Drosophila melanogaster: one gene and its partner. The protein of the gene in region 1 interacts with the protein of each later gene in a biochemical or structural test. Each region holds a gene or a part of one and is shown on either strand. Other genes may lie near its edges. The genes, in order: Rpn12 and Ubqn.

Evidence for each region.
Region 2: the proteins of Rpn12 (region 1) and Ubqn form a complex in vitro, tested with the Drosophila melanogaster proteins (one study listed by BioGRID).

The regions. Positions count from the first base shown.
Region 1 is NT_037436.4:16,581,260-16,584,522, forward strand, and holds Rpn12 (regulatory particle non-ATPase 12), read left to right. Parts: upstream 1-1,768; 5' UTR 1,769-1,840; coding exon 1,841-2,635; 3' UTR 2,636-2,763; downstream 2,764-3,263. Other genes in the region: UQCR-C2 (Ubiquinol-cytochrome c reductase core protein 2), read left to right, coding at 3,141-3,185.
Region 2 is NC_004354.4:19,682,050-19,688,692, forward strand, and holds Ubqn (ubiquilin), read left to right. Parts: upstream 1-1,758; 5' UTR 1,759-1,951; coding exon 1,952-2,047; intron 2,048-2,390; coding exon 2,391-3,861; intron 3,862-3,940; coding exon 3,941-4,017; 3' UTR 4,018-5,609; downstream 5,610-6,643. Other genes in the region: dome (domeless), read right to left, coding at 1-921; CG14227 (uncharacterized protein), read right to left, coding at 5,814-6,214, 6,283-6,467, 6,534-6,576.

The DNA of each region.
Region 1 (3,263 bases):
TGTGTTGGAAAGCGCAGGCGAATCACCGCTTAGCAGCACAGGCCGAAACATGAAACTATCGCTAAAAGGTGTACATTCAAACTAAGATGTGATAAAATTTATGAAGTCATTCTGGGTATTATATTATTCTGAAAGCGAACGAAATGGTTAAGAAATATTTAAATTCAGTAAAGCTGAAAAAAGTTTTCATACTTTGTGGCCAACATTCACAATGCAATCAGAATACTTCCAATGTAATTGTATTGTATTTATTGTTTTAATTGAAGTCTTCTTTTTATACTTTCCACTAAAAATACTTTATTGTGAGTGGTGTTGTACCTATCGTCCCCATTAACCGCACGATAGTATCGATACTTATCAGCATGCATCTTTAACACAATAAACAAACAATAAATTGATCGATCCGACCTGAAAGCGAGATCGCTAAATTTTTTAACTCAATTTCGGAGGTATGGAGTTGGGGTTGGTGTGCCGAATTTGCCTCGGGCAATGTGAAAACGAGTTCAATATTTTTGAAGTTAAGCACGGCACTGAAGCTTCAATAGCGTCAATCATTTCCGAGTGCACTGGCCTCAAAGTGGAAAAAGGCGATCATCTACCCGAAACATTTTGCACCTCCTGCTGCCAAGATGCACAAAATGCGTTCGAGTTTAGAAAAACCCACCAGAGGAGCTAATAATTTTACGTTTAGTTAATGGAGGAATCCCGATTCCGCAAGGTATCTTATTCCGAGGATGGGGAATCGAGTATCGATGGAGGTGCTTTTCAGCATTTTGTCGAACTCGAAAGTGTAGTTGAAGATTGGCGAGGCAGTGGCATGATCCAATGGGAATGTTGTCTAGTGTAGAACGAGCCTCTTTAAAGACGATGATCAGTTCGTGGACTGTGACAGCGATCAATCCAATAGCCAAGTCAATATTGAGGTAATAGACGAAGACTATGATAGTTGTGAAAACCATAGATTGCAAAATAAAGGACGTGATAATGATAAGCTGCTTCAATGTCCTCATTGCCCAACGAGGTTTTGGATAAACTCAGCACTTAAGCAGCACTTGCTGCTTAGCAGCAAAGGCTTTGAAGAGCGTATCGCATCTTTCGGGACATATTGCAATACACACTGAAAAACGGTGCCCCCATTGTACATCGAATTTTACGCTGGCTTCCAATCTTAAAAGGCATCTAATAATCAACACAGGCGAACGCCCCTTCAAGTGCTCCCAATGTCCTAAGGCGTTTTACCCAGAATGCGCATCTTCGAATTCACATGATGAGCCACACAGGAGAGCGACCGTTCCCATGCACCAAGTGCTCCAAAAGCTATTTCACGAACACGCAACTGCGGTACCATCTAAAGACCCACAAAGAATGAGAGTTCTGAATCGCTTAATAATTTAAGTTATTCTTGACACAAAACTTATGCCCAAGGTCAAATAGACGTGATTTCAATACCCGAAATTTTTAACTATACTGAGACAATCACTAATTGAATAAACAGTCCGAGCTTAAATGCGAAAATTTAGATTTAAACTCCATTAGATAGTTTGTTAAAATATATCGATATTAAAGCACAAAGGAAATACAATACCCCTTGGATCAAATCATAAAGCTTTCAGTTGTAAACTGTTAAACTATATAGAGTTCGTCTAAAAAATGTATTTTTCAACTTAAACTTACACTTAAATAATATTCCCAGCCCTGTGGTAACTTGACAATCGATAACTGTTCCGATAACGATTGTCCTATCGCTTTACCCTACAACAATTGCCATCTCTAAAAAAAAGCGAAAATCATCTTGGGAATTTGCAGAAAACATTTAAGCTTCAATATACCAATCTAAAGAATGGCCAACGTGGAATCGCTGTACAAAGAACTGACCGCCGAGTGGTCAAAGCGGCCACCAAACACCGTCAAATGCGGCCAGCTGCTGGATCAACTGAAAGTAGCGCTCGTGAAGATGGCCTTCCTGCCGACGGACGGAAACGATGCCCAGAGCTCCAAGAAGCAATTGATCCTGGCTAGGAGCGTGCTTGAGGTGGCCGTGGAGCATAGCGTGCTCAGCAAGGACCTGCTCGCCTTCGAGCGCTACATGGCGCAGCTGAAGTGCTATTACTATGACTACGCTAAGATCATTGGCGAATCGGAGAGCAAGTATAAGCTGCTCGGTCTGAATCTGCTGTACCTCTTGTCTGGCAACCGGGTATCCGACTTTCACACGGAACTGGAGCTGCTCTCCGTGGACGTCATCCAGCACAATCAGTTCATTCGGCCCATCCTGGCGCTCGAGCAGTACATCATGGAGGGACGCTACAACAAGATCTTTCAGGCCAAGTCGACGGTGCCCGTCGAGGTGTATAGCTACTTTATGGATCTTCTGTTGGAAACGGTGCGCGATGAAATTGGTGCCTGCATCGAGAAGTCCTACGACAAGATCTCCGCCAAGGATGCAGCCAAGCGGCTCAACCTGCGCGTCCCCGACGAGATCAAGGCCTTCGGCGCGAAGCGTCAATGGAAACTGGAGGCTAGCGGCGACTACAGCTTCACGGACCGTAGCGTCAAACCCAAGGAGCTCCTGCCCTCCGAGGAACTCGCCGAGCAGGTGCTCAGCTACGCCCGCGACCTCGAGATGATAGTTTAAGTCGCAAAGCAGCCGTTAATAAACGACAGAGTAAGGTTAAGAAAACAGTTCTAACACGCTGGATACCACAATTTTTATAATAATATGTAATTACATTGAAAACAACAAGAAATTAAATTTAAAACTCCTAAGCCAGTAGTATATTATTTCTGCAAACCTAGCAACAGTTTGAAATTAACTTTTCACGGATAATTTTGTAAAAGTACAACTAACAATTTTATACATTTTTCTGTATGAATGTAACTGCCAAGGAAAAACATTTGTTAAATTTTTTCACTTAGTCAAATTATTCAAGATCACGATATTTCGAAAATCCCGTGACTTACCATAAGTCACAGCTGGTACTCGGTGTGACCATTTTGGAGCGCATTGAAAAACTAGGGCTTAGTTGAACCCCGTGCGACGGCCACACTAGCGCGAACGACCGTAAAAATTTTCGCTCTGCGAATATTTGTAAAAAATTGCTTAGAAAGCAAATAGAAGAAATTGTAGCATAATCCACGCCATGGCCTGTAACGCTAGCAAGACGTCGCTCCTGCGCGCCATCGCCGTAAGTCTCGACTTAACCAACAAATAGTTACGGCAGCGATTCTTCCCAGCGGAAGGCTCGTGTTACGTAAAACACCCC
Region 2 (6,643 bases), on another chromosome or scaffold:
GGCGCGCACGCGCACCCGGAGCGTGTAGTTGTAGCCGGCGAAGGGCAGCTCCGTGAGGCAGAGCGTGTCCTTGATGGTCAGCGTGTGGTTTCGCCAGCTGGGCCGCGTGATGGGCTCAAAGTTTTGCGGCGTGACGCGCACCTGCCACACCAGGCCGCGATTGTAGTTGGACCGACGGGGCATCTCCCACGACAGGCACACGGAGCTCTCGGTCCTGTTGAGCAGGGTCAGGTTCTGGCCAGGTCGCGCCGGCACCAGACGCTCAAAGTGATTGATCGTGATCGGCTGCGTCTCGTGGCCCAGGGCATTGGAGATGGACAGTCGGAAGTAGAAGGTCTCGCTGAAGCGCTTGTAGTTGTCGTCGGTTAGGTTACAGGTGACCACTGGCGCCGAGTCGAAGTTGCAGTCCAGTGTGTTGCTATATCGCCAGTCGTTGTTGGTGTTGTAGCTGATGTTGTACTTGGTGATGACCGTGTTGGGCGGCTGGGTGAAGTTGCACACCATAAACTGGAAGTCGTAGTCCAGGCAGTTGAAGTCGCGCACCAGGAGCGGCCTGGTGCCCACGTAGACCTTTGACTTGTTGATCACATACTCGTCGCACATGCAGTGGTAGTCGTTCTCTTGCTCCACGGCATTCGTGTCGCTAAACAGGATGGTGGTGTTGTTCAGGATTCGGATGTGCTTGGAATCGCGGTAGACGCGGCCGCCGCCTGTAAAGTACAGCTTCTCCACCGGGCAGTCCTCGGCGCTCTTGCCGTTAAAGTAGTCTTCGTTGAGGGTGCAGCTCAGATTAAAGTCGCCGCCGATGAGCTGCTCCACCTTGGAGGGAATCACCCAGCCAGGATCCAAGATGGCGTTGGCGCCACCCCGGCAGCCGGCAAGCAGCATGAGCAGCAGGACGAGCTGCTCCTGGGCCACCATCTTCCTGGTCCTGGTTCTGCTCCCAATCCTAATCCTAATCCTAATCCCCTCCTTCCCTTGCTGTTAAGGTTTACTCTGGCTCTCTCTCTCTCTCTCTCCCACTCTGTCTCTCTGTCTTTAGCTCTTTTCCTCTCTTTCTGTCTCTCTCTCGCTCTTACACACGCGCGCACACCAAAACGGCGCTCTCTCACACACACAAGAGCACCTTGCTGTTGGCCTCGCACTTGTTGGCTGTGTATTGGTGGCCAGTTCTCGGAAACCGTTTATACGCTGCGTTCCTGGAAGTGGCTCTTAAACATTTCACTGCCCAGGTGTGGGCTTCTTGTCCGGGGCTTCACTACGACTAAATTACGAATAGGGCTATCAGGGCCTTGCAATGCCAATTGCTCGCTTCGAGCAACTGTGGTACCGTGTTACTGTTTTGTCTCTGGCTCTCTCGCAAATGCAGAATCCTCAGTTGGCTAAGGCGATCGCTCTCCTCCCTGCCCCCGCTCGCGATGCTGACGATATATGTTGTCGACGAGTTGCTTGTCCGCAGTGTGACCGCTTATCGAAAGTTATCGCAGTCCGATATGCGATATCACTGGGGCTACCTGTCGACGAACGGCCCCACTAAATGCGATAGGTGCCAAACATCGCATTTCAGCCGAAATTCGAATTCTAGGCCACCCGTTGCTTGTATCTCTAGAACGCCCTCTGCCGAATACGTTTTCAAGCAGAGCAAACTACTTGGCAGCGGTTTTGGACGCGTTCAAAGCGTTCAATTGGCCGCTATCGATTCATCGATTGGTGGTTGATACGTCAGCCCTGGCGTGTGTAAGAGTCAAAATCGAAATCCATCGTGAGTGTGTGTGTGTCCGTGTGAGTGAGAAAGTGACGAATTACTTTTCATCAAATGGGAAATAATTTAGGGTGAAAACACGTATATATTCGGAACACATTTAAATTACAGACGTGATAACATCTCGAAAGAACCAGCTACATCGGTGCAAATTAAGCTAAACGAGAACACCGCAAATACACCATCGAAATGGCGGAAGGCGGCAGCAAGCGCATCAACGTGGTTGTAAAAACGCCAAAGGACAAGAAAACGGTCGAAGTTGACGAAGATTCTGGAATAAAAGATGTGAGTACGGAGCACGTGACCCGCCTGACTTGGTTGCTGGTACCCCAAACCCTTCTGGACCCTTCCATTCATAGCGATGGACCACCTCCCTCCCTCCCTGCTCTTTGCCCACACCCCCGAAAGTATTGGGAAATTAGTGCCCGTAATCGCGGTACAGTGCACTTTGCCTAAGCCGCACACAACACGCGCAGCTGGTACAGTGCACTTTGCACAGTGATTGGTCTTCTTCCCATTAACACACATAAATTGAAGCAGAGGCATGGGAGCGAACATTTAATTGAAAGGGGAAACTAGACCATGGGCACATAATAATGACAACAATCACACCATTCTCGCCCCACAGTTCAAAATTCTGGTTGCACAAAAGTTCGAGGCGGAGCCCGAGCAGCTCGTGCTCATTTTTGCCGGCAAAATTATGAAGGACACGGACACCCTTCAGATGCACAACATCAAGGACAACCTGACGGTGCATCTGGTGATTAAGGCGCCGACGCGCAACAACGAGCAGCCGGCCCGACAGCCGGCTGACGTGCGCCAAACGCCCTTTGGCCTCAATCAATTCGGTGGCCTGGCCGGAATGGAGGCACTTGGAGCCGGATCGAACACGTTCATGGATCTGCAGGCGCGCATGCAGAACGAGCTGCTCAACAATGGCGACATGCTGCGCTCCCTGATGGACAACCCGATGGTGCAGCAGATGATGAATAATCCGGATACCATGCGTCAGCTTATCACGTCCAATCCGCAAATGCATGACCTGATGCAGCGCAACCCCGAGATCTCGCATATGCTTAACAATCCGGACCTGCTGCGCCAGACGATGGAGCTGGCCCGCAATCCCTCGATGTTGCAGGAGCTGATGCGTTCGCACGACCGCGCCATGTCGAATCTGGAGTCGGTGCCGGGCGGCTATAGCGCCCTGCAGCGCATCTACCGCGATATTCAGGAGCCAATGATGAACGCGGCCACGGAATCCTTTGGTCGCAACCCCTTTGCCGGCCTGGTCGACGGCGGCGGTTCAGGAGCCGGCAACAACCCGCAGCAGGGCACCGAGAACCGCAATCCCCTGCCGAATCCATGGGGCGGTGCCAATTCGGGAACCAATGGAACAGTCGGTGGCTCCGGCGCCGGCAATCCGACGGGGGATCTGCCGCCGAACAATGTGCTCAACACGCCGGCCATGCGAAGCCTGCTCCAGCAGATGGCCGACAATCCAGCCATGATGCAGAACCTGCTGAACGCGCCCTACACGCGTTCCATGATGGAGTCCATGTCACAGGACCCGGACATGGCCGCGCGCTTGCTGAGCAGCAGTCCGCTCATGTCTAACAATCCCGCCCTGCAGGAGCAGGTGCGTCAGATGATGCCGCAGTTTATGGCCCAAATGCAGAACCCCGAGGTGATGAACATGCTGACCAATCCGGATGCAATGAACGCTATCCTGCAGATCCAGCAGGGCATGGAGCAGCTGCGCAGCGCGGCCCCAGGTCTCGTTGGCACCCTGGGCATTCCACCGCCACCACCGGGTGCCGGCACCGGAACGAATCCAGCCAGCGGCGATGGGAGCGGGGGCAACAGCGGTGCCAGCACCAACAATGTTTCGCCAAGCAGCGGCCTCAACGCCGGCACCGGCACTCCAAACCTGGCCCCGGGCGGTGGTCCCAACGCGCAGCTCTTCAACGACTTCATGATGCGCATGCTCAACGGGATGTCGAACAACGCGGACAACACACAGCCGCCGGAGGTGCGCTACCAGTCGCAGCTGGAGCAGCTGAACGCCATGGGCTTTGTCAACCGTGATGCCAACTTGCAGGGTGAGTGTCCTAGTGGGTCTTGGTGGGTCGCCTGCCCTGTGCGATGATTCTAATCCGCTCTCTTGTGTTTGGTTTGCAGCTCTGATCGCTACCTTCGGGGACATCAATGCGGCGGTAGAGCGACTGCTGTCCCTCAACCAGTTGTCCTTGAGTTAACAAGGCTAAGCCATAGCCATAACCAAACTGTACACAACCTGTCTATATATCTACGAACTACAACTACTATATATACCACTACGGCCCTGGAGAACGCGAATGAGAACACGACTAGTTAGGAGGACAGGTCCTAAACCCAAACACACACCCTCCGCCAAAAAATTCCACGGTCAGCGCTGCTGATCGCTTGTTTCCCCATCAAGCCGGAAATGTCAGGAATCCATCATAGCCACATGCCAACATACCAACACCCCCAAGACACAAAAAGATGGCTCCAAACGAGCATAGTTGCCTCGAGATCGGAGAGATACTAGATATAGGTGGGTGATATGAATGACGCCGGTGAGAATGTTAGATAGGGATCGCATACCAAAGTGTTAGCACTTTCGTAGTTGATATCAGATTTTTTTTTTTTTTAAATAATTTACATTTCGTGAGCTCGGAGAATCCTTTAAGCGGAAATGCGTTAGCCGAAAACCAACTTGAATATGCATACTTTGCTCACGTAATGCATAGTTTTGCACGCCCAACAACTTCAATCGAAATACTTAACGCATTTCTTTATCGGAGAACTTCGTTAATTTTCAATAAAGTTAAGCGGGAATGTGCACTTTTGTCATTGATAATGTAATAACTATTTTGTCGCCAACAGATGCGAATTCCAGTTTTGTGTTTAAGAAAAAAGAATCGGTACAGAGATCAGAGGCGTAGTATATATCCTGTGTTCTGGTCAGGCAGTTTAGTTTTAGTCGGGTGCTAGTGGGCGTGGGCTATAGCCGCAGTCCTTCTGACTCCCCCCCCCCTCCATTTCTCGCGATCGGAAAACGTTCTGGAAATTGCAAACAACTGCAAACAGGACAAACGTACAGTAGATATCGGCTATATGCAAAGACGACACTGTCTTGGGGGAATCCTAACATACGCGCGAGTATGCTGTAGTCAATCAAAATGTTTATCGATTCGTTAATATAAGAGCAATCTCCAAGCGTTATTTATCCCACATCCCGTTCAGAGGAATACAAATGTAAAAAGTTGTTGCACACAAGCGATTTGCATGCTAACGATATCTACTGTAAGTTAATGTGTGTATATAGGTATATATATATGTATATACATATATATATATATATCAAAATATTCCAAGGTGTTAACAAAAGACGTAAAACTATAAAACAAAAAAAAAAAAAAAAAAAAAAAACCAACTCCTTAGTAAAGAGAGGAAGCCCCAATAATAACTTGTAATGTAATTTACTCTAAGCTTTCGTATATAAAACCTATAACCGACCATTTGGGTTCCCATTTCCGATCAATCACACACACACACACTTTCGAAAAGCTTTCCTTCGCGCGCTCACCGTTTATATAAGATATGGATTCAGTGTATACCCTGTAAGTGCTACCACCACATAGCCTCGCTCGTCCGCTGTGGGATTGGCTGGTCGGCCGGCTGGCTGGCTGGCCGGCTGGCTGGCTGGCCGGGTTGTTGGTTGGTCAGTTGGGCTAGTGGACTAGTGGAACTACGTTTATTTGTTTAGTGAAGGAAGTGAGGCAAAGTAATTAAATGTAAATGATCACATGTTTGAAAACGTAATAAAGCTACTTTGGTTTTAGATTATAGCCAACCTCGTCTATTACTCTCTACTATCTCATTTACTTCCAAAGGCATCCGAAATAAAGCAGCTCACCCACTCTGGCTTAGTTTTAGTAAGCAGTACTTTCTAATTGCTATTCCAAATCTTTACTGCAGCTTAAACGTTTATAATAACTTATACACTTATAACTTATAACTTATGTCCTCATGCCGACAAGTTAACCAGAGCATCCCAGATCCAGTCCATGTAGAAAGTCACATTGGTGCAGACACTTAGGCCCGCACAGGAGCTCAAGCCGAAGATGATGATGCCAAACTGGAAGGTGCGATACGTGCCCCCGTAGAGAATTTTTGCGCTAAAGGGGCCACCGGAATCCCCTTTGCATGCGTGGCTCGTCTCGGTGTGGACGCATATCTGCGACTCGTCCACCTGCTGCTGGAACTTCAAGGTGCAGAGTTCGCGATCGATACGATCCCCAACGGAATGCTTCAGCACCCGTGGTATGCTGCGAAAGTCTTCTGCAGTGGTGCCCCAGACGGTCAACTGGAATCGGTCGATGGCCGCCACTGGCTCATTGATGAGCAGGCAAATGGGGCGCACGAAGTCTATAGGGGAAAGGCAGTTCTGGTTGAGACTTTCGAGGGCAACGACTGGATATCTCCCACTCAATTACCTGAATACTGCACCGCATGCTGCATCCGGAGTAGGCCAATGTCGTACTGTTGGGCTTGTATTTTGCCGAATCCGGCGTGCACGATCTTCTTGTCGATCCGAACGCAGTATGCGTTTGATAAGCGAGCACCCGAGCTGCAATTTTGTCCAGGATTCCAGGCGTCGAAATCACCCAAGTGCACCTGCCTACAGGGAGAGATTGGGTAATGGGCTGATGACCACCACATATGCTGGCGAATGGGCAGGACTTACATGGCTTCTCTAAATACGCAATGTGCTGCTGTCAAAACAAATCCTGGAATGGTTAAAATTTAGCCTTGCGTGAGCTAAATAAGACACTCATCATTTGGCACAAACACTCA